2 linked regions of the Mytilus edulis genome follow. The protein of the gene in region 1 interacts with the protein of each later gene in a pairwise test. Links are inferred from orthologs where the notes say so. Each region holds a gene or a part of one and is shown on either strand. Other genes may lie near its edges. The genes, in order: protein phosphatase 3 catalytic subunit alpha-like and calcipressin-2-like.

The links.
Region 2: the proteins of protein phosphatase 3 catalytic subunit alpha-like (region 1) and calcipressin-2-like interact in binary tests that used the Caenorhabditis elegans proteins (3 or more experiments, as listed by UniProt). The link is inferred for Mytilus edulis from reciprocal best matches to the Caenorhabditis elegans genes tax-6 and rcan-1.

The regions. Positions count from the first base shown.
Region 1 is NC_092352.1:34,311,446-34,323,466, forward strand, and holds the start of protein phosphatase 3 catalytic subunit alpha-like, read right to left. Parts: upstream 4,832-12,021; 5' UTR 4,685-4,831; coding exon 4,636-4,684; intron 1,462-4,635; coding exon 1,261-1,461; intron 1-1,260. UniProt on the Caenorhabditis elegans protein: Calcium-dependent, calmodulin-stimulated protein phosphatase. Dephosphorylates arrd-17. Dephosphorylates daf-16 at 'Ser-319' which regulates daf-16 nuclear translocation. Dephosphorylates calcium permeable cation channel pkd-2 at 'Ser-534'.
Region 2 is NC_092353.1:62,868,477-62,880,668, reverse strand, and holds the start of calcipressin-2-like, read left to right. Parts: upstream 1-7,511; 5' UTR 7,512-7,677; coding exon 7,678-7,893; intron 7,894-12,192. Other genes in the region: methylosome protein WDR77-like, read right to left, coding at 7,152-7,209. UniProt on the Caenorhabditis elegans protein: Inhibits tax-6/calcineurin A phosphatase activity and thereby negatively regulates calcineurin-mediated functions.

The sequences.
Region 1 (12,021 bases):
CATCATACTTTAAATCATTGGACGTTATGTCTGAGGTTAAGGACACTTAATTTTAAAACATCACATGACAAATATTCTCACCTGTAAAAATACAATAATTTGTCAATGAAAGAAAAATATAAACTTTTTACTTGTATGAGGCTGAGAAACTGGCCTTCAACATTAAATGACCTAATATTGTTTTTATAACATATCAATCTATTAGTTCAGTCAGTTATTTCCATGTCTGTCCTTCGATTATGCTACTCGAGAAAATATTCCAAAAAATGGGAAACAATTGTATCGAAGAGAAAATCGAGTGCACCTTTTTTTATGTTAGGGTGTGTTTGAGAAAAATATTTTGTCTTGAAAATGTACAAAACAAGAGTATTTGTTACATCATCTCGCTTCAGACTCTATCATTTTATATAGCAAAGCTACAGGTTGACTTTATAACATAAAAAAAATCACAGTACTAAAAGATGAAATATAGGGGTCAAGTGAAATATCTATCTAATTGGATCACAAATTCAGAGTAGGTGTGTTCGAATAGCTATTTGACTAAAAGTGCTTGACGACAGTCTTGGATCTCTGAAAAAAAAATTGTCTTCCGTTTCTACGATTGTGAAAATGAACTGGCGAAATAGGAAAATAATTTCGACGAAGTAGAATCCTGTCTGTATTGTATATTTACAAATAAGGAAACATGAGAGAATACGTGTCATGTGATGTTTTAAAATTTAGTGTCCTTAACCTCCAACATAACGTCCAATAAAATTTAAGAATGATGTATACAAGCTGAAGCCCCGCCTATCTTAATTACCATGCTTGAGCAAACATTGATACAAACAAAGCAAGCAAGCCGAACAAAGATTTGTCTTGCTAGCATTAATGTAAAAGCTGTAAGGATGAACACGAATGCGGCCACTTTCGTTTTACACGAAAACTGTCTAAAATTTAACTAAAATGCTAGAATTGTGAAGACTTCAGTAATTTAGCATGACTTAATGGTGCTAGTACCCGATATATGTGCTTTGTCTTGTCAAAAAGAGCCCATATTTATGTAGCAGAAGCATTCTACGGTCCAATAAACTACCAAAAGTTTATATTTTAACAATTTTGTGCTATATTTTGGGGCCGAAAAGGGGTCTTACTGGACCTACTCCTTTTGTGCCAATGGTGTTGTCAATAATAGATTGCTGCTAGGGATTTATTTTTTTTAAACCATGCACGGATACAACAAGCATCTTAACTATTAATAAACATAAATATTGTAGTTACCTGTGACTGGTGCTTCTATGTCTATCATTGTTTTTTCCTGCCTCAACAAGGAAGCTCCCCTGTTGATTAATTTAAGTGCAACCTCTTCCTGTAATCTTCCTTCCAAAATAAAATGCTGTTTGAGAACATCTGGTCTTGGTTTATCTTTACTGTCGAACACTTCACTATCTGACAATCTGTGACTTGGTGGAAAGGGAACACCTAAAAATCATAATATCAAAATAAATCAAATCCAAGTTGACAATGTATAGAACATGTACACAACTTTCTATCATATATATGAGGAATGAAAGCAAAAATAGTTGAGGACTTATCCCTTCCCTTATAAATTATACCAGTCAGTATTCATTGGTTCTATCAGGTGATAAATAAACATGCTGTTTCACTCTTATTGATGTTGTGTAAGGTAAAAGAAACTCTGGCTAGTCCCTCCTAAAATGGTGTTTCCCACAGGTTATACCTAAGGGTAGAATTCTTTATCACCATGATTTTTGAGAGATTATTAGGGAGACATCTGAGACAAATATAACTTCAGGTTTCATGTATCAGACAAAACATTTCCAAGTTTGCACTGGCACTCAAATAATGAACTAGGATCACAGGCTTTGCCAACAAAGTAACATTTGGTTTAATTTGTGGCATAATTTTTTAAAGTCAAGTATAAATGGCAGACATATAGGGATAAGATGTATTGTAAAGGAGCATTACTCTATAACATTAAAAGTGACGCGACCAAATTTCAAATTTGATCCATGTTTTGTGATATTAAGCATTGTGTATAAGTTTCATTACATTTGGGATGACTCAGTGTGTAAAACCTCTGCTCACCGACTCACCAAATGCGAGTTAGAGTCGTATTTAGCGAGACCAGGTTCAATAGAACTCTCCCTTTGTGCAAGTAGTCCTTCTGTGGCAACTTTGAATCAAGCCATCAAAAAAGATAGTAGCAAAAACATTTCCCCCGCAAAATATATACTGTTATCCTTGACTTCTGTTTCTTCTGTTTAAACAGGGACCCAGATGATACATATTATGTTACACGAGTTCTGATTGGCTAGATGACAGTTGTAACAAAAACTTAAACCAATCAAACTTGTGTTTAATACGATAAGGTGTATTACTGGGCATCACAAAAGTTCCCTTAAAAATTTGACGTATCAATACAAATTATTATACTTCACGTAAAAATGCCATATTTTGATTGGCTGATACAAGGGTGTTAATTTACTCTATCACATAGCTGAGAGGGTGACCATTTTTTTTAATGTAACCCCCTCGTCTAGACCAATCAAAATAGATAGTTTAAAGGACAATGGATTGAATGTACATCAAATAATTAAATACAATGCTTAAGTTCTAGGTTTTGGCTCAGATTTTATTATTTGACCTGCTGCTGCTGCATTTTTTTTGTGTTCATTCATAAGAACAATATATTTCTTTTCAGACTGCTGTATTTTTTTATTATAAGAGATACAGAGAAAGTTATTGCATGAAAAATGCTCAGGAGAGTATGAACTGTAATGTTAGGCAGTTATTTGAGTAAAATTTTTATCAGATTACCTGCATTTTCAGGTAAATAACAGGTAAAAGGTGTAATTTAAGAATTTTGAATAAAAACTACTTTTAGTCTTCATCTATTTTGTTGTTTTATCTGCCATATAATAAAGAAGACACCAATTACTCGATTCCGTAGCGTATTGCACCATACACAACATATTACGTAATCATGGCTCCTTCCTCAAAATTTTCAGTCAACCTCTGTTTTCCCCCCTTTTTCTACGTCTCGTAATTATCGATCAAATCATATTTCCCACAAGAATTAAATGTAATAAAGATTGAGATAACAAGAAACCTTTTAACTAATCCATGTTGTCAGTTACGCCATAGAAATGCTTAAATGTTTCCATATTTACAGCTTCGTTTCTGATTTCCGCCATTTGCATTTGTCAAAATATTTGTTTTTATTTTCCTTCAACTGCATGATTTTACTATAAAAATTGCCGGGATTTCAAGCGCAAATGAGACCTTGTATATCCTTGATTCATACAAGGAAAAATCTGAGAGGACCCGAATGAAAACCGAATGGTTTAAGTCCTGATGAAAAATCCATTGTCATCGAATAGCAGTGGCGGAGGGGGTATGTCATCGCTGCATATGCTGTGTATAGCGTTGAAAGGGTTATAATAAAATTAATCGATTAAAAAGACTAAAATGATAGGCATTCAGTATAATAAAATTAAATAATAAATAGCTGAGAGGGTGATAGAGCAGATTGGTACCCCGATAAAACATTGTCAAACCAATCTGCTCTATCACCCTCTCAGCTATGTGATATTTATATAATACATGTTGACACAATGCACTGTGATGTACATGTATGATGTCAATAGTTCAAGGGGGACATTTTATCTTGTCAACAGGGACAGATACATCTTAACGCTATTTGTCCGCCATTACTGGATATCACACAAGTTCCCGTAAAATTTTGACGTCATAAAACAAAATATCTGACATCACAATGGAAATGTGATTGTTGTATGCGTCAAAAGTTCAAGTGGCTGGGTCAGCCGGGATTACCGATAAGGTTTATTTCCTAACACACCTTATCCGATTTGTCTGCCATTACGGGATATCACACAGGTTCCGTAAAATTTTGATGTCATAAAACAAAATATCTGACGCCACAATGGAAAAGTAATTGTTGGATGCGTCAAAAGTTCAAGCGGCTGGGTCAGCCTGGGATAAGCGATAAGGTGAATAGCTATAAAGGTGCATTTGACAATCATAACTGCACATCCCCTTATTCATAAAAAATACTGTATATATACAACATACAACACAATAACTACAGTTGCTACTTGTCATCTACAATATGTGTGTGTGTGTACATGTAGGAATGCAAGGAGAACAATAAGGAGGACTTTTTCATGTAGTGTAAACAATCCTCAGCTGACCAAAAATGAAATACTATAAATAGCAACAATGAATGACCTTATATACTGTTTAGAAAAATATCTGAACTTCAAATGTATAGTAAAGAAAACTTTAGTAAAGTCCTTAACGTAAGTCGCTCAAATATGACCAGAAAGGAAGGGTATTATGAAAATGTCTCCCTTTAAATTTATGCAGCAACGGTAGCAGAATCTCTGCAGACGTCAGTATTCAGATACATTGACGTGCAGTGTATATGCAGAAACGCTTGATAACCAAAATATGTAAGCACATAGAAAATTTAGTATAATGAATTGTTAAAGAGTCAGGACTGCCAAAAATACCATCAATAAACGGAAAAGTATCACTTGCAGTCATGGCCGACAGGCAATATGGCGGACATAAATATTGTTGTGTATTGAACGGAGATAGCCATTGACTTACCCTTTACTATTCTTTCCTTTGTAGACAACTTAGGATCTGTGGAAGCCATCCTGGGGCTTTATAGAGGTGATAACTTTAAAATGTGCCTTAGATGGCACTTATTTTTGTCGATATGCCCCGATTCAATAATAGTAAACAATTCTTATCAAGATGGCGTTAACGACATCTTATTTGCATACAAAATACTATGCTGCGCATTTATTTGCGCAACCTTGCCAACGCCCGGTGTCAATGTTGCAAAAGTATGGCGAGCTGGATTAACAAATCTATTTATTTAGATAGAATATGTTTTTAACCGATTCATATTAATAAAATGTGTATTTAAACGACAGACACTGAATAAGTATGCGATGCTAGAGACGGATTTATATAAACTTTTCCAACCTTGTTTCCGAATCCCATAGTTGACCAAGTTGAATTTCATGTAACATGATTGTATATTAAATAATACTTTATTCTTGTAATTTTTCATTGATAAATGCTATTTAAACTAAACTAAGTATGCGATACTAGCCCTCAGTACTAGCTATACTTACTTTGACATCTTAATTTGATCAAGGATTTGTATAGTGTCTCACTATACAAATCCTTGATTTGATTAAAAAAAATACATCTTTAAAACTGAGATGAAAATTACTGACTGGATCTATCATAGTTTTACTTTGGTGAAATTCACGGCAACCCATTGACATATTAAATTGACTTATCAAAAAGAGCTGAGACTACTATCACACAATAGCAGTCTCAAAAAAGAGACACCGATTATATAAAGCGGCACGCGGTTTAAGGAAACGAGCCTTCCGAGCCAAAGAGGAAGAGACACTCCCGCCCCATGGATTATGTGTGGTGCTTAACGAAAAGTATTTCTTTAGTGTATATCATTTGAATGGGTTTTTTTTCACTACAAATGTTCTGAATACTGTAAAAATTGACTTTCAAGAACTTACTCAAATAGGAATATTAAACAACTGATTACAATTTCAAGTTATGTTCCAAATGTCAAAGGTGTAGAATCTTAATTCTTCTTTTTATGCTGATGGTATAAAAAGGTGGAATGATTTCAGACAGACGACGTAAAAGGTATTCATGTTAACAAGTTTGAAGTTAAAAAAACACCTAATGAGTAAACTCAGATCAATGTCAGATGCATTTTAGATATTTTATTAGATCTCTTTTTATGCCCCATTTATGGGCATTATGTTTTATGGTCTGTGCGTCCGTTCGTTTGTCCGCTCGTCTGTTCGTTATTCCGTCCGTCTGTCCTGCTTCAGGTTAAAGTTTTTGGTCGAGGTAGTTTTTGATGAAGTTGTAGTCCAATCTACTTGAAATTTAGTACACATGTTCCCTATGATATGATCTTTCTAATTTTAATGCCAAATTAGAGATTTTGCAACATTTTCACGGTCCATTGAACTTAGAAAATGATAGTGCGGATGGGACATCCGTGTACTTTGGACACATTCTTGTTATATAAATGTTTTAAGATGCGAATTCATAAATACTATTTATTGCTGTAAAATTGAATGATAAACTATTTATTTTATTGTCAAGACTATAAGGACCCAATTGGAAATAAGCTTGTTTGCTTTCATGGGTCATCCTAACCTTGGTTAAGGCATTAGAGGTACTTATAATCACAACCATTGCTATATTTTCGTTTGATGTGTGTTATCATTTGATTTTGCCATTGGATCGGGGACTTTCCGTTTTGATTTTTCCTTGGAGTTCAGTATTATTGTTATTTTACTTTTTTCTAAGGTGTCAGTATTTATAGCTAAGTTTCCAAAACTGATTTGTATTTGTACATATTGCCTTTACCTGAAAAAAATACCGTACAGCCTTCAACAATGAACAAAGCCCGTACCGCATAGTCAGCTATACAAGACTTCGAAATGACAAATGTAAACCAATTCAAACGAGAAAACTAACGGCTAGTAATTCATGTACAAAATAATGAATGAAAAAAATGTATCACAGCAACAAACGACAACCACTGAATTGCAAGCCTCTGACTCGGGACATGCACATATAAACAAAACGTTTCGGAGTTAAACTAGTTTGAAGGCATCAGTAGAAAAGGGCTAAACTCATCAAATGCACTAGTCTTTTTCGGGGGCCCTTCATAATAGCTTAATTACTATTCGGTGTGAGCCAAGGCTTCGTGTTGAAGACCTTGCTTTGACCTTTAATGGTTTTTCTTTTACAAATTGTGACTTGGATGGAGAGTTGTCTCATAGGAACTGATACCACATCTTTTTATATTTATCTACAAATAGAAATACATCAATTAAAAAACACAGAGTGGACGTAGACTGGTTCTCATACATGCTAACAACAAAAAGACAATTAGTTCAGATTTAAAAGTTCTCGCAGTTAAAATTAAGCCAATAACAAATAGGAAAAATAGTCCTGCATCTAAAACTAAGTTATCAATCATTACACACCCAACTTCCAATGGATTTATAGCTAATTTCACATTGCATGTAGAGCAAGACTTTGGTTAGCTTTCTTGCCTTGTTTGAATATTGTACAATAGTAATGTAACGTCCAATTAAATTTAACTATACTATCTAATTGTTTGAAGATGTCAATCTTAAGTATAAAGCGCAGGCCAACGTTTATGCAAACAAAGTAAGCAAGCCAACCAAAGTTTTACTCTAAAAGCTTTAAGAAATTAGATGTAGTGTACAGATGCCATAAACACTAATAAAATATGACGAATTTGACAGTTTCGGAACACATAATTTTGTTTGTACCCTTTCTGATTACAAGAAGTATGAGTCTTGGAATACCTAGAAAATGATTAAGGCTTTATCTTCCTCCCTATAAAATACTTCCATAATGAAACTGTTTGCAGAGACTGCGAAATAACTTCGTTCTCTCTTAGTCTCTCTTGCTCCGTCTAATCAAAGTATTGCTAATTCGAAAGATGTAATGACTACTGAATAAATTTTCCAACTCCATTTATACTGCTAGAACGTAATAAGGAGTTACTTTTATACGTCCAGTGTACAATATTCAACCCAAATTTAGGAAGAATCATAGATAACATGTTAAACTGCTTGGTAGGTTCTATATATGGACACAGTAGGTCGAAAAGGACAACTGAAAAAAGAAAGAAAGTTGTTGTTCATTGTCTGAAAACTGGATAATGGATTCAAAGAAATGATCGCAATCCGATCAGACATGACTATGTAAAAAACTGCAAAACAGTCACCTCCTTTATCTGTGTATTATTTTGAGACTATGGATGTCCAAGTGTACACAATTTTATACCCACGTGACCGATTCTTGTGTCTCTACAGTATGCGGAGGTTGTCCATTGTCCTTGAACATCACTGTACACCTTTCTTATTTTCAACACAGTATTTTGTGGTTGTTTAATTTGTAATAAATAGTTCTCAATTTTTATGGCAAGACACTGTGCTTTTTTTTTTAATGTATTGCCATACATTCCCCATTTCCATTCTCAATTTTATGATCCTAGCTATTATCAAATTTTCAATTCATTTATTATAAAATAATGCCTTAAATTACAATTGTTTGATATATGTAATGTCAATGCTATGTTTTGTTATCATCGTTGGTCCTTTCGTCGTTCTTTCACTTCATGGAATTGTCTGTTTTTATGGAAGAGGTGGGACCTAACCTTATATCATACTATTTTTATTCTTCTTTTCAACTATTTGAAGACAGTCTTAATATACATAATGATGCAATTTGATAGATATAAATTACAAAGATATAGAGAAACCTGGCTAAATAAATTATCCAGCAATATACTATAGTACATAGACATCTATTATAGATTATTTATGATATTGAAAATTCAGAATATATCAGAAACATATTTCGCCTGGAATTGGAAAAATGTGCAAACATGCCTGACATTAAACACTCGATTGAAAAAAAATATTTATGACTGATACCTTTTTATTTATATTTTTACCGGTCTACGACATGTCTACAACGTGTCATTTTGTTTGCCCACTTCATTAAATTAATCCACCGAACTACGCAAAAATGCAGCTAAAAAGTTTAAATAGTCTGTATTTTTTTCTCTCTTTAAACTAATTTAAAAAGCCTTGTAAAAATTCATAAGCGATTAAATGGATGTTAACTTCACATTACATTTCATTTAGAGGTTGCCGTATAGTATATATACACTATTTTTGAATTTTAATGCATGATTGTATATAAAAAATATGCATGCCGAAATGGATCGGTAGCCCGAAACCATCGCCCATTGTATGGCTTTGAACTAGCTGTTATTAAATTCGACTACTCTCAGATCTGTTCATAGTGTCTTTTTGTTGTTGGGATGTTCAAGTACACGGCCATGGCCACTCTTTGTTTTTGTTTTATTTATAATTGAACATACAAAAATCATATTTTGTTTATATCTAGTAGCATTTAATAATTATGACGTGTAAGTCCATATGCATGTATCACAAAGATAAAATTCAAAACTGATGGATTTGTTTATCCAATATAGTACTTCTGTTATGATACGTATACACGTGCAGTGCATGCAGTCCTGGAAAGATTTACATCAAACTGACTTGAGCGTGTATGTAAAGGTCATATCTTTGACTAGCTTGCTGGCTAGCTGAACCGTGACATTATTATTAGGTTAGGTATACTACCCACCTTTCGTATGAGTCTAGTGTTACAGACAAATATATTGGTTATCTGTTGGAATAGTCTTCGTTTAAGGGAGGGTAGTATACCTAACCTAATAAAGAATTCAAGGTTCAGCTAGCAAGCAAACAAACCAACGATATTACCTGTTCCTACACACTCAGGTCATTCTGCTGTAATAGACGATTTTTTTCATCTTAATTTTTGTGTTAATATCAATACCCTCTATTTGCGGAAGATAGAAGATCGCGGCTGCAAGTTCAAGTTTTTGTTGATATACATTATTGTTCTTGTGTAGTAATAGATGGTGTCGCATGTATATATTTCTATTCATTCTGAATTCGCAGGTGTTGTAATAAAGAGCGATATATGAGAACTTTAAAGCTTGTACATACTTAAACCCCATGTCATTTGATATTTTATGTTATGTTTCTATAAACGCTATATGAATTTATCAATGATAACCTTTTACGAAGTTACCGTTAATGTAACATTTGATCGATTTTTCATCAAGGATAACAAATGAAATTTCATTACTGCTAGCAAAATATAATCTTTAATATTTGATGAAGTTTTAGTAAAATGATTATTCATGTATGCATTTGCTTTTACTCTTCAAATCGGTTTACCAAGACGCAATTGTTCTTTAAACGATGTCAACATGTTTTACTGAATACCTCATGCATGTAACATTAAAATGGTTTCAGTTTAGATAAAAGACCAATCACTGTAATAATAAAAACAAACAATAACTGGCCATTGTAAGTCTTGTATGATTTTCAACTTTAGGTCATTTATATATTTCGGAGTTTAGTATGATGTCCATTATCACTGAACTAGTACACATTTTTGTTTAGGGGCCAGCTGAAGCACGGCTCCGGGTGCGAGATCTTCTCGCTGTGTAGAAGATCAATTGGTGGCCTTCGGCTGTTTTCTGCTCTTTGGTTGGGTTGCGTTCTCTTTGCCATATTCCCCATTTCTATACACAATTTCTTCAGTTAAAATCTGTACTTTTTTGTATCTTCGAAGTCTATATATTTGAAATAATATATATCTCAAAATAAATAAATAGTCTAATTCACAAATAAATCAACTAAAAAAGACAAAATTAAAACTAGGTAAAACATACACTGTTAAAGAATGTAGAAGAAAATACACCAAATTGTCAACAGCAAAAGATTTATCAAAACGAACCCCACCAAACAACGTGAGATGGACGCATTATTTGCCTATACTAGTAAGGATCGAGAGATACCCTGGTAAGTATTAAAGCTACGTAAAAAAGACAAACATATACTAATAGATACTTGTTTATGAGAATCATCCCTATATACCTTGATGTGATAATATTGCATGGCAATTCACCGTCCCCTACCGCGGTTAAAATTTCGTTGTTCTGGAACAAAATGATCAAGCACATACGTGTATTCCTAGGTCCAATTACCATAACTCTGCAAACGAATCATCTGAACGGAACAAGTCAACAAAACAGCTATGATATCTACATATTTTCTACATTGACCCATAAGGAACAATGTGGACTCGTGCAAGTGCGCTACAATAGAAGCATATAATATGCTCCAAATTGATACACGTCTTGTTGCTAATAAAAAATCAAAATCTGGTGATAAGTTGCATTAGCTTGTGTGATGGTATTTAGTAATATATATGGCCTACTAGATTTCTTTTGTTAACTCTATGTTGGCCTCTATAGATGTCCTATGTTCACTCTATGTTGCCCGCTAGATGTCTTTTGCTTACTCCTTGTTGCCCTCTATAAATGTCCTATGTGGACTGTATGTTGACCGCTAGAGATGTATTTTTTGTTCTTTATGTTGCCCTCTATAGATGTCCTACGTTTACTAAATGATGACCTCTATAGATGTATTTTGTGTACTTTATGTTGCCCTCTATAAATGTCCTATATTTACTGTATGTTGCCCGCTAGATGTCTTTTGTGTACTCTATATATGTTGCTCTCTATAGATGTCCTTCGTCTACTGTATGTTGCCTGCTATATATCTTCTAGATGTTTTTTAGTCGATTGGTACTGTTTCATTGACGCATACCCAAACAACTCCTTTAAAAGGGTTACTTTTTTAAGATCTTGCCTTCGATTGATCACTTTGGATTTTTTCAGTTAGCTAAAACTAAAAATTATGATTTCAATATACCATCAAGCATAGTTGTATATATACGTGTTCAGTGTAAGTATGTAACAATACATTTGCCAAATTGAATCTCTTGTACAACACAACAGCCTGGCATAATTATTTCAGAATCAAAATACATATTAACAAGATAATTACTGTGTCACGATATTAGTCTTTATATTTAACCAGCCGTATTTACGACTGTCACTGTAGCATTACGCATTCTGCATTGATCCTTAGAATGTTACTATACATATCACTTTCATCTGTTTCACTGCCGTTATTTTGTTTGTAGGCTTTTTAATCAAATATTGGAAAATGTGCATTAAGCATCCAGTGAAAATGATAGATAGCCTCCTTTGGGTATAAATGCATGTTTTAACGTGTAATTACAGGAACTTAGATCAATTTGGTGTACGTTTCAATAGAATTATAATGAGACATGTAGATATGATTCAGGTTGACAAGTTCTAGACGATAAGGTATAACTTACACGTTTAATAGACTTTCATTTCACGGCCTACATTGTTATGTGTAAAATGTCATGATGCTATCATAATGCTGTATTATAGAACCAATTATACTGGAAGTA
Region 2 (12,192 bases), on another chromosome or scaffold:
ACGAATGCAAGAAAATTTACAAAAATAAACGATGTTTGACAAGTTATTTGGAAAGGAACATGACGTTTTTAATGCAATAAATGGATTAAACATTTACTGGAGGCAACTTTTATCACATTTACAATGCTTCAACCTCTTTTCTTCTTAAGATAATGAATCGTTTATGTCTGAATTTCTTTAATTATCAATAAAAAATTGATGTTTCATCAATTTGGTAAAAATTGAAAATGTTCGATGACGGAAGCGACTGAAACGAGTATCGTAGAGAACAGGGCGACATAATGTTGCTAAGAGCTTTTATAGTATTAAAGCTTATTGTAATAGCTTGGACTAATAATATAGTATAAATAACACCTCCATGCAATGTAGATATAAAATATGTATCTCTTATGGTCCAACTAAAATTAATTAGTAGATTTTCATCCAAAGTTTTGAAAAAAATGGGGCAGGTGGGAGGATTTTATTTTTTAAATTTTATTTAATTCGAAACCTTCTTGTGGCGTGAACTTCATATATATATATATGTAAGTGTTATAATTACAAAATGTAGCTTATACCATGTAAATGTGTAAACATGTATAAAGAATCGTACATATTTTTCATAATTCTTGAATAAACATCTCTGATTTGCAACGACTGTTCTACATGCCATTGCTACTTTAAAAACCTATTTTCAGTAAACAGTAAAACCATGGAGAAATTCTCTATTCAGTTTGACAACCAACTCCAAATTAATTTTGCTCTCTAAGCGATGGTTTGTAGTCCCCATAAACTTATGCAAATGCAATGGTATGCAACACAAGTATTATGAATTAAATGAAAACTCAAACAAGTGTTGGGAATACATTGTAGTAAAGTTGGCACTTTTAAGATTCTTAAGTTATGCAAGAATGACGCAAATATAATAACATTGTAAAACATGAAGTTGTGTAAGGTAGATTCATGGTATACCGCCATCTTGGATTGTACAATCACAGTACAACAGGGGCAGATGCAGGAATTTTCGAAAGGGGGGGTGCTAACCCAGGGCACCCAGGGCAAAGGGGGGGGGGGGGGGGGGGGTGCAAAACATATGTCCCGATACAAATGCATTGATCGGCAAAAATAAAGGGGGGGGCGCGCACCCCGGAACCCCCCCCTGGATCCGCCACTGGTACAAAATCGGTCTAGATATTTGCCTAAATCTGCAAATTTGGAGACAGATTTGCAATTCAATTGTTAGAATGTTTTTTTTCTATTTGAAGAAAACTTGTTAATTAATTGTTTTATACAAAATATTTTAACAAATATCAATTTTTTGGGTTTAAAAATCATTTTTTTCAAATGAGCCATTTAAGGGGAGATAACTCTTTTAGTACAAAATTTATACTGGGCTAACGGGGAATTTTTTTATTTTTACTTGTAGCAAGAAAACAAGATCGGTGACACCATGTTTTCTTTATATTTTCTTAAAACATATTATGAAACCTTTCTTCTCACAATTTATTTCAAAATTCTATCTCATAGAATATTTTTTATGCACACTAATGTGTCTTTTCATGATCAAAGTAACCAAACTTAGACAATTTTCAACGACTCATAGCTTGAAATATAGCACATAGACCCATACTTTTTATTAAATTTTTGAAAAGGGCATAGTAAAATCTTCATTTTAGCATTTTGTGGTTATCACTGAATGGTAAACATGGTAAAGAGTGTTATAATTTATCAGTTGGTAGTAAAAGTGAATATACATTGTATATTGTATAAAACAATGATTTAAGTTGATTCAACTACTATTCTGGACAAAGAAAGATAACTCCAATTGAAAATTTCTTGCTATTGAACAATACTGTGCAATTGAAGATTTCTTGCTACTGCTGAATACTGTGCAATTGAAAATTTCTTGCTATTGCACAATACTTAATATAATAGTTTTGGATCCTGATTTGAACCAACTTAATCAAAATCTAAGTACATGTTTAGTTTCAGCATATCAAAAAAGCCCAAAATTCAATTTTTGTTAAAATCAAACTTAGTTTAATTTTGGACCCTTTGGACTTTAATGTAGACCAATTTGAAAGCAGGACCAAAAATTAAGAATCTACATCCACAGTTAGATTTGGCATATCAAAGAACCCCAATTGTTCAATTTTTGATGAAATCAAACAAAGTTCAATTTTGGACCCTTTGGGCCCCTTATTCCTAAACTGTTCGGACCAAACCTCCCAAAATCAAACCCAAGCTTTCTTTTATGGTCATGAATATTGTGTTCAAATTTCATAGATTTCTATTTACTTTTACTAAAGTTATGGTGTGAAAACCAAGAATAATGCTTATTTGGGCCCTTTTTTGGCCCCCAACTCCTAAACTGTTGGAACCAAAACTCCCAAAATCAATCCCAACCTTCATTTTGTGTTCATAAACCTTGTGTTTAAATTTCATTGATTTCTATTTACTGATACTAGAGTTAGAGTGCGAAAACTAAAAGTATTCGGACGACGACGACGCCAATGTGATAGCAATATACGACGAAAAATTATAAATTTTTGCGGTCGTATAAAAATGGATTTAATATAATTGTACATGTACATATAAATAGCTGGTCTATTTATTATTCAGGCTAGCTTTCATTTGCTAACCTGTTTCTTTGAGGTAAACGGATTAAAGTTACATGCCTTCCCCATTCCCCTCCCATTTTGTAAAGTATCCTGTTTGCAAAGATTTTCCAGCATTCAGAGAGAATATTTGTAAATTCTGTATATTTGTTAGGCTAAGAATTGTAAGAAGCTAGAATAATTACTGTTTAACTACTCTCAATCTCAGTGATTGAAGTTTGTCTTCCTGTGCTTACTCCAGGAGGCTGAAGTCTATTAGATAATATAACAAGGTACTGTTATTTTTAAAGTATAATTTATTAGAAGATGGCATAGATATAATATACATGTATGTTAATGTTATAGCATATTGAATAGTTGGTTGAACACTGTAGCAAATAATTTAGATAAAAACTGTGTAATATTGTTTACTGAACAATTCGTGAATTAACTGATAAAACATCTTTATGCTCACAATTATCTTACTTTTCCTTGCTGATAACACATAATACACCATACAGTCGGAAACCAGGTTGAAATAGAACAAAAGAATCGAAGCTCTTTGTTAGAGAAGGCGATAAATGTTTACTGTATTGTTTACTATAGTGACAACATTTTACAAAGTTAATAGAAACAAACAAGGTTGCAATTTTCTTCTCAATTACGAGGTGTTTTATTTTAAAAACACCATTTGCATAAGTTTTCAATTTATCTAGTACATAGTTAAGCAGAACAATTAGATATCAAGTCGACGACATGGGTATCTTTCAAGTTGGATGAAGAAAATTCATAACCTCCGATTTTTATGAAAAAATTAGGCCAAAAAAAAAAAAGGTGTGTTTCCGGTCACCCGACCGACCCTAATTTTTTGGCGCCGACCCTAACTTTTTTTCCACGGAAAAAAAAAAATAAAAAATCCGGATTTTTTTCGTTTTTTCCGGAAACGGTTTTTGTTTAGTATAGCCTTTGAATGGCATCTTTTAAACGTTTGATTTCAAATAAAATTTTAATACAGTAAGCATTTGTGTGATACAGATTGAAGTCAAACAACGGCATGGCTTCTGCTATGGCCATCAGTCAAAGTGTGTTATCAATAACAATCGATGAGTGTCCACACAGGAACGAGAAAAAAAGTATAATAGCCCCATTTTCTAATTCTACCACCTTTATTGATATATTCAATCAGTATCATGACTTTGGATTAAAGAACAATGAATTTACATAGCCCCAAAACTCAATTTGTAATTGATTTTCTTTTAAACAGCTAGTATATAATCAAAATTTCAAAGATTTTCACCCATCCCTCTATCATGTTATTAATAATTTGGTATTTGTAGAAAAGCTGGCATCAGTTCTGTGAACTAAATTGTCTGAAAGAAACTGATTATAAAACAGGTCTTTGCTGAGACAGACTTTGATGGGCTTTCTGTGTAAGACTATAGCCTGACCCGTACAGATGGCATATCAGTTCTGAAAAGTTTGAAAATTTTATAAGCTGGAAGTCCTGGCCAAGTCTTCTGCAACTTTTGAACATGGACTATTCATATCTTGTATACTTTATACAATGAACTGATGAAAATAACCTGAAAGAATAACAAACTGATTTATATAAAAATACACAAAAAACAACCGAAGCAGGCCAGTAAAAAAAAAAAAAAAAAAAAGTACCTACCTACCGACCCTAATTTTTTGGGGCATGCAACAGGAAACACACCTATTTTTTTTTTTGGCCTTACCACGGACGGAAAACATATCAATCTATTAGTTCAGTAATTTTCGTGTCTGCCCTTCCATTAAGTGACTGAAGAAAAAATTTCAAAAAATGGGTAACAATTGTATCGAAAAGAGAAAATCGAGTGCACCTTTTTATGTTAGGGCGTGTTTGAGTTGAGTATTTTGTCTTGATATCGTACAAAATAAGAATATTTCATACATCGTCTTGCTTCAGATTCTATCATTTTTATATATTAAAGCTACAGGTTGACTTTATAACACAAAAAAATTACAGTACTAAAAGATGAAATATATGGGTCAAGTGAAATACCTATCTAATGAGTGACAAAAACAGAGAAGGTGTGTTCGAATAGCTATTTTTTTACTGAAAGTACTTGACGACAGTCTTTCAAGTTGGATGATGAAAATGCATATCTTCGAAAAATTCTAATTTTTTGTGTGTGATTACTAGGGTTTATAGTCTTCATACACTAAAAAAATATAGTCTGCCCTTCCACAAAATATTTAATTAGAATTTTTTTAAATGTTTATGAATTTTCGAAAATTCCACCTGACAACCGATCAGACAATAGTTTTAAGTTGAATCAATGCAGACAAGATTATTAACTGATGCTCATTAGCTAGTTGATACATTTGTCTTTTAAAATACAACTGACATATAAGGATCGTAATGGTGCAATGTTGATAAATTTATCGGTTTCCAAGAGCAATATTGGTAGCGTGTCATCCCTACAATGGCTTCCATTTCTACTATTGTGAAAATGAACTGGCGTAATGGGGAGATAATTTTGACAAAGTAGACTCCTGACTGCATAGTTGTCCAACTGGTCTCTGATTGTTGTCATTACACTGTCTCGTGAGAGAATAGATCTTCTTGTTAGACAGAGACAAGAGACTATTCGATTGTCAGATAGATAATATTCATTTGTGGAATAGTCTGATGGTACTGCCCTGGAAGTTTCCACTTCTTGAGTGTTAGTTTATATGCGATTCCAGGTTATAGAGGTGCAGCCTCTATTTGACAGTGTAATGCTGTTCTATAAACTACACGATAGAAAGTGCGTTTAGATACACTGACTATTACGTATTTGAATATTCTTTACCCATATTGTTCTCGCAATTTGAGTTTCTTGTTAAATATAAAGTGAAGTTAATGTGTCAGAAGTATTTTAACCCTATTGGCCTGGTAATATTAAGAACACCAGTGTTTAAACCATTCTCTGTTTTAGACTAGCTTATTCTAGTCTATTGAGGTTCCCTGTGTACCTGTAAACACAGGTGGTGGCAGCAAAGTAAAAGACACCTGTTTGGCCAGTTATTACAATAATGCTAGAGATTATAGCCAATATAACTAGAAAATGCCATTCTGCCCTAATTTGCTTTAAATACAGTGCAAACAAAAATACCCCTCTATAGAGGAAGAATTTTATCCCTCTAAAGAAGGATTATCCCTCTATACAGGTATAATCACCATACAGGGGGTTTGTTCCCAACCTGTCCAATTCAAGATGTCATAATTATTTGGACTAGCAAACTTCCTTCTAGTATTGGACTGTCGATTGTTAATGTCCAGTGGATTCCTATAGTAATGACTTCTGGTAAAAAATAAACATGCACATGTTTTTTTAATCTATCTGGCAAAAATGTCTGGATGGGATCACTTTTGGGGAAATCGTGTATAATATTAACCCTTTCAACGCTATACACGGCATATGCCGCGATGACGTACGCCGTTCGCCACTGCTATTCGCGGCGATGAAAAAGGATTTTTCATTAGGACTCTTAAACCATTCGGTTTTCATTCGGGTTCTCTCTAATTTTTCCTCGTTTGAATCTAGGATATGCAAGGTCTCTTTTGCGCTTGAAATCCCGACAATTTTTATAGTAAAATCATGCAGTAGAAGGAAAATAGAAGGAAAATAAAAACAAATATTTTGACAAATGCAAATGGCGGAAATCGGAAACGAAGCTGTAAATATGGAAAAATTTCAGCATTTCCTTGGCGAAACTAACAACGAGGATTAGTTAAAAGGTTTCTTGTTATCTCAATGTGTTTATTACATTAAATTCGTGTGGGAAATATGATTTGATCGATCATTACGAGACGTAGAAAAAGGGGGGAAAACGGAGGTTGACTGAAATTTTTTAGGACGGAGCTATTTATTTGTGCCACGATTACATAAAACGTTATGTATGGTACAAAACGCTACGGAATCGGGCAACTGGTGTCTTCTTTACAATATGGCAGATAAAACAACAAAATAAATGAAGACTAAAAGTAGTTTTTATTCAAAATTCAACACAAATGTAATAAATTACACCTTTTACCTGTTAATTACCTGAAAACGCAGGTAATCTGACAAAAATTTCAGTAAAATAATTGCCTAACATTACAGTTCATGCTCTCCTGATCATTTTTCATGCAATAACTTTCTCTGTATCTCATATAATAAAAAAGATACAGCAGTCTGAAAAGGAAAATACTGTTCTAATGAATGAACTAAAAAAAAATGCAGCAGCAGCAGCCATTTTTCATTTTTTTTGTGTAGCGTTGAAAGGGTTAATAAATTATGTTTACTGATTTTATAACTTTATAATTAAATTGATTAACACAACTATTTTACTCTTTTTTATTTTTTGTAATAACCACGTGTATTTATAATACATACATGTAATTGTTATCTTTATAACCCGATGGAAAAAGTTAAAAGTGGCATTCAAATAGAAAGAAAAGGGAAACAAAGCACTGTGATATGTGCAAGGTAACAAAGTCAAACCATGAAACACGTTTTCACTGATGGACAGTCAGTTGTGTCTGATTTATCTAGTATTTCTACAAACCTGTGTGACACTGAATCACATCTAATTGTCTATCCATGGCGGCCGGGATTTGATCCATCACTGCTCAACCGAAGCTTGTTTATTTTCCGGATAAGAAAAATTCGTCAACCAAAACCATGTGCACTGTTTGCCGGAAATGGGCGCGAAATTTGAATCACTTTTTTATTATAAGTTATTTAAAATAAAAATAAAAAAGTTACCATTTTAAAGAGACAGTCAGAAATATTTTTTGATTACTTAGTGTTTTTAAAACCCCAAAAGGTAATGTTATTATAAGTTACGACATCAACTGTTTTGGTACGTTGTATTGTATTTGGTTTCAAATTGACATTTGGTAACGTGCTAGACCTAAAAGTCTGAGTCATAACGATGCTTCAAATTTGACCTAAAATTCATGTTTTTATAAACGACAAAAAGGTAAAGATCTCGTATTTTTAATGAATCTAGTTTGACAGATTGACGTCATGTACTTTTTTCGTATTTTGATTCTTCAGTCGTGTTGACCCACATAGTGCATTATTTTAGCATGCCAAAAGCATTGAAAGAGTCAATTGAACCAGAGCGACTTGACAATCGATGGGATATAATGGAAATAGAAGATAATATCAGTCATGCCGAGGATGTTGGCACCGGCGCCAGCATGGAAAGGGAGTTTATGGAAGACAATACATTTACAGACTTGCCAAATGCATTAATTGTCACTAACGTTGCTGAATGTGTATTTGATGATGAAGATGCAAAGGTGAGATACTCAATTTTTGCTGGAAGCTGTTAGTTTTAATTATAGTCATAGTTATACATATAAAGTTTGGCATCAGATCCATTCATGCATTACCTGTGAATAGGGACGAAGTCTGTATGAATTATTTTTTTTGTAACTTGAATATTTGTTAAAAAAAGAAACGGAAATACCGTAACGTTTCCAATTTTGGTTCTGTTGTTAGGGATTTAAGTTGTGACGTTATTTAAGTTATGACGTCATATGCAATGTAAACAAAGAAACGCTATCATCAGGTAACATTTTTATATATCAAGGAATTATTAAAAATGAAATTGGTATTGCGTTGACCTTCCTTTGTTATACTACTAAGACTGATAAATATATATTTTACTAAAAGTTTCATACAAACGAGACCGGAAAGAGGAAGTACATCGTAGATTTCTGCCCAGATGCCCAGGAATTCAAAACATGACATCAAAAAAATTGAGTTCATTAGTACAATGAAAATTTCTGGGAAAATTTTCCCGATTTTTTTTTTTTTTATTGAATTTTCTACTGCTACAGTATTATAAAAAACTCGGGTTTGAGTGAACGTCGATGCATTTCCGTCAAAAACTCTGGTTTTAGTGAACATCATTTGTGCGTTTAGGGGCGTCGTCACTTCCATTCCAATGGTGAGCTATATTGTACGAATTATTCGGCAAATTGAATCCTCAAAATTGACAATCAGCATTGCTGTCACTAGCTATATATAGGGAATTGTCATTAGCAAATGATTAGTCTGCGTCGTCGTCGTCGTCCGAATAGTTTTAGTTTTCGCACTCTAACTTTAGTAAAAGTGAGTAGAAATCTATTAAATTTTAACACAAGGTTTATGACCACAAAAGGAAGGTTGGGATTGATTTTGGGAGTTTTGGTCCCAACATTTTCGGAATTAGGGGCCAAAAAGGGCCCAAATAAGCATTTTCTTGGTTTTCGCTCTATAACTTAAGTTTAAGTAAATAGAAATCTATGAAATTTTGACACAAGGTTTATGAGCACAAAAGGAAGGTTGGGATTGATTTTGGGAGATTTCGTTCCAACAATTTAGGAATTAGGAGGCCAAAAAAGGGCACAAATAAGCATTATTCTTTGTTTTCACACAATAACTTTAGTATAAGTAAATAGAAATCAATGAAAGGAGTAGGTTCAGTAAGACCCCTTTTTGGCCCCAAAATATAGCAGTTTTACAAAATTGTTAAAATGTAAACCTTTAGTTATTTATTGGACAGTAGAATGCTTCTGCTACATAAATATGGGCTGTTTTTGACAATTCAATGCACATATATCCGGTACTAGCACCATTAAGTCATGCTAAATTACTAAAATCCTCATAATTCTAGCATTTTAGTTAAATTTTAGACGGTTTTCGTGTAAAACGAAAGTGGCCGCATTTGTGTTCATCCTTAATATTGAAATGTAAGTTGTATTTTATGATAATACATAACACATATAAAGGTTGAGGATGAACACGGATGCGGCCACTTTCATTTTTACCAAAAACCATCTGAAAAGTGACATTTTTTGGCATATTAGGTAGATTTTTCATATTTGAGCTTGAATCGGATCGTTTTTAATGACTATATCTGTTAAAATCTTTCACATAAACTAATTAATTCAAATAAAATAGACACTTAAGTGTTTAAAAAGGGGTCAAAATCTTTCGTCAGATGAACCTGAAATTTGAGGCCAAAATCGGTCCTTACCGGACCTACTCCTTTAAACACAAGGTTTATGACCACAAAAGGAAGGTTGGGATTGTTTTGTTAGTTTTGGTCCCAACAGTTAAGGGGCCAAAAAGGGGCCCAGCTACATGTAAGCATTATTCTTGGTTTTCGCACCATAACTTTAGTATACTGTAAGTAAATAGAAATCTATGAAATTTAAACACAAGGTTTATGACCATATAAGGAAGGTTGGGTTTGATTTTGGGAGTTTTAGTCCCAACAGTTTAGGAATAAGGGGCCCAAAGGGTCCAAAATTGAACTTTGTCTGATTTCATCAAAAATTGAACAATTGGGGTTCTTTGATATGCCAAATCTAACTGTGTATGTAGATTCTTAATTTTTGGTCCTGTTTTCAAATTGTTCTACATTAAAGTCCAAAGGGTCCAAAATTAAACTAAGTTTGATTTTAACAGAATTTGAATTTTGGGCTTTTTTGATATGCTGAAACTAAACATGTACTTAGATTTTTGATTAAGTTGGTTCAAATCAGGATCCAAAATTATTATATTAAGTATTGTGCAATAGCAAGAAATTTTCAATTGCACAGTATTCAGCAGTAGCAAGAAATTTTCAATTGCACAGTATTGTTCAATAGCAAGAAATTTTCAATTGCACAGTATTGCACAATAGCAAGAAATCTTCAATTGCACAGTATTGTGCAATAGCAAATATTTTCAATTGCACAGTATTGCACAATAGCAAGAAGTATCTAATTGCACAGTATTGCACAATAGCAAGAAGTATCTAATTGCACAATATTGTGCAATAGCAAGAAATTTTCAATTGGAGTTATCTTTCTTTGTCTAGAATAGTAGTTGAATCAACTTAAATCATTGTTTTATACAATATACAATGTATATTCACTTTTACTACCAACTGATAAATTATAACACTCTTTACCATGTTTACCATTCAGTGATAACAAGCACTTTATTTTACATTTTAATATTTTATGATGTATTTAAATGAGTTGTAATTATTGTTGCAAACTCCATTAGAAATTTGAATTGAGATCAGTTTTGAAAAAAGGGAATGGGGGATGTGAAAAAAAAGGAGGGGGAGGGGGGGGGGGGTAAATTTTTCTCATTTCAGATTTTATAAATAAAAAGAAAATTTCTTCAAACATTTTTTTGAGAGGATTAATATTCAACAGCATAGTGAATTGCTCAAAGGCAAAAAAAATATTTTAAGTTCATTAGACCACATTCATTCTGTGTCAGAAACCTATGCTGTGTCAACTATTTAATCACAATCCAAATTTAGAGCTGAATCCAGCTTGAATGTTGTGTCCATACTTGCCCCAACTGTTCAGGGTTCAACCTCTGCGGTCGTATAAAGCTGCGTCCTGCAGAGCATCTGGTTGTATTTCGTTGTAAAAATATGTTAATTTACTTCAATTAAAGCAGGTTGAATGATTAAAATAATTTAAAAAATTAGATTAAATATAAATGTTTTGAGGGGAGACAACACTGTAAACAGTCTGTTTTTTTGGCAGTGAAAATTGAAAACTTAGCAGCCTCTGTAGCTCTTTTTTGAGCAGGTGAACATATCCTGAAACACAAATTTTTTGAAAGACCAGGTAAAAATCTATGAAATTCATTCAATTTTGATTATGAAAAATGTGCAGGTATCATGTCTTCAGGGGTGTGCACATAACCTGATTTCAGGTTTTTTCAAGCTTAAATTAGGCAATGTTTTTCCCAGTTTCTCTGGATAAAACTTTTTTATACTATTAAAAGTACACTTTTTTTTATTCCTTTATAAACTAGAGAACATTCTGATTCCAGTGATATCTAGTTTTATACAAGTATCCTTATTAATCAGTCCACCACTAAGGGTCACTTATACATGTTCCCTCAAATATGACGTCATAGGAAAAACTGTTGAATGTACCCTAAATGAGTCATAAAGGCGTGTATAATTGACAAGTTTTTTTCCGGTGACGGATAAACTCGAAAGTGATCTATTGAATTATTTTGTTGACAAATATCAATAAAGATAAATACATTTATTGTTTTCCAGTATTATATATACTACATGTACATTGTATATACATGCAAATTAAATCAAAGAGAAGATAATTATAGCGAACCCTATGATAGTTTTCCATAGATTCACCTGCAAGTTACCTGTCGATTTAAACTTTTGGCAGTTCTATCACTGGCAGACCTATTTGGAAAATCACCGTGATTTTTGTAAAAAAATCGGTGTTTTTTGGACAATCTGCGCGGAACGGATAATTAATAGAGGTTCATCGTAAATTTTCCGTTTTACAGAATATTTTGCGGTTCTCCGGAGATTTTCCGTGTCTCAGGGAATTATCCGTTTGTCCGATAAAACGGGTGTGTATTGAGTCATTGATAGAACCAGTGATGCGTGAGCGACGGTTATTAAAAGGTCGGTTGTATAATCCGTTATGCGTGAGCGACGTTCAATCATTAATTGATCGTTGTATAATCCGTGAAGTGTGAGGGACGGTTGTATTGAGGTACAGATTGTGATATATGTAGAAGTTTACAGAACTACTAGTATCATTAATCGATTGAGATATAAG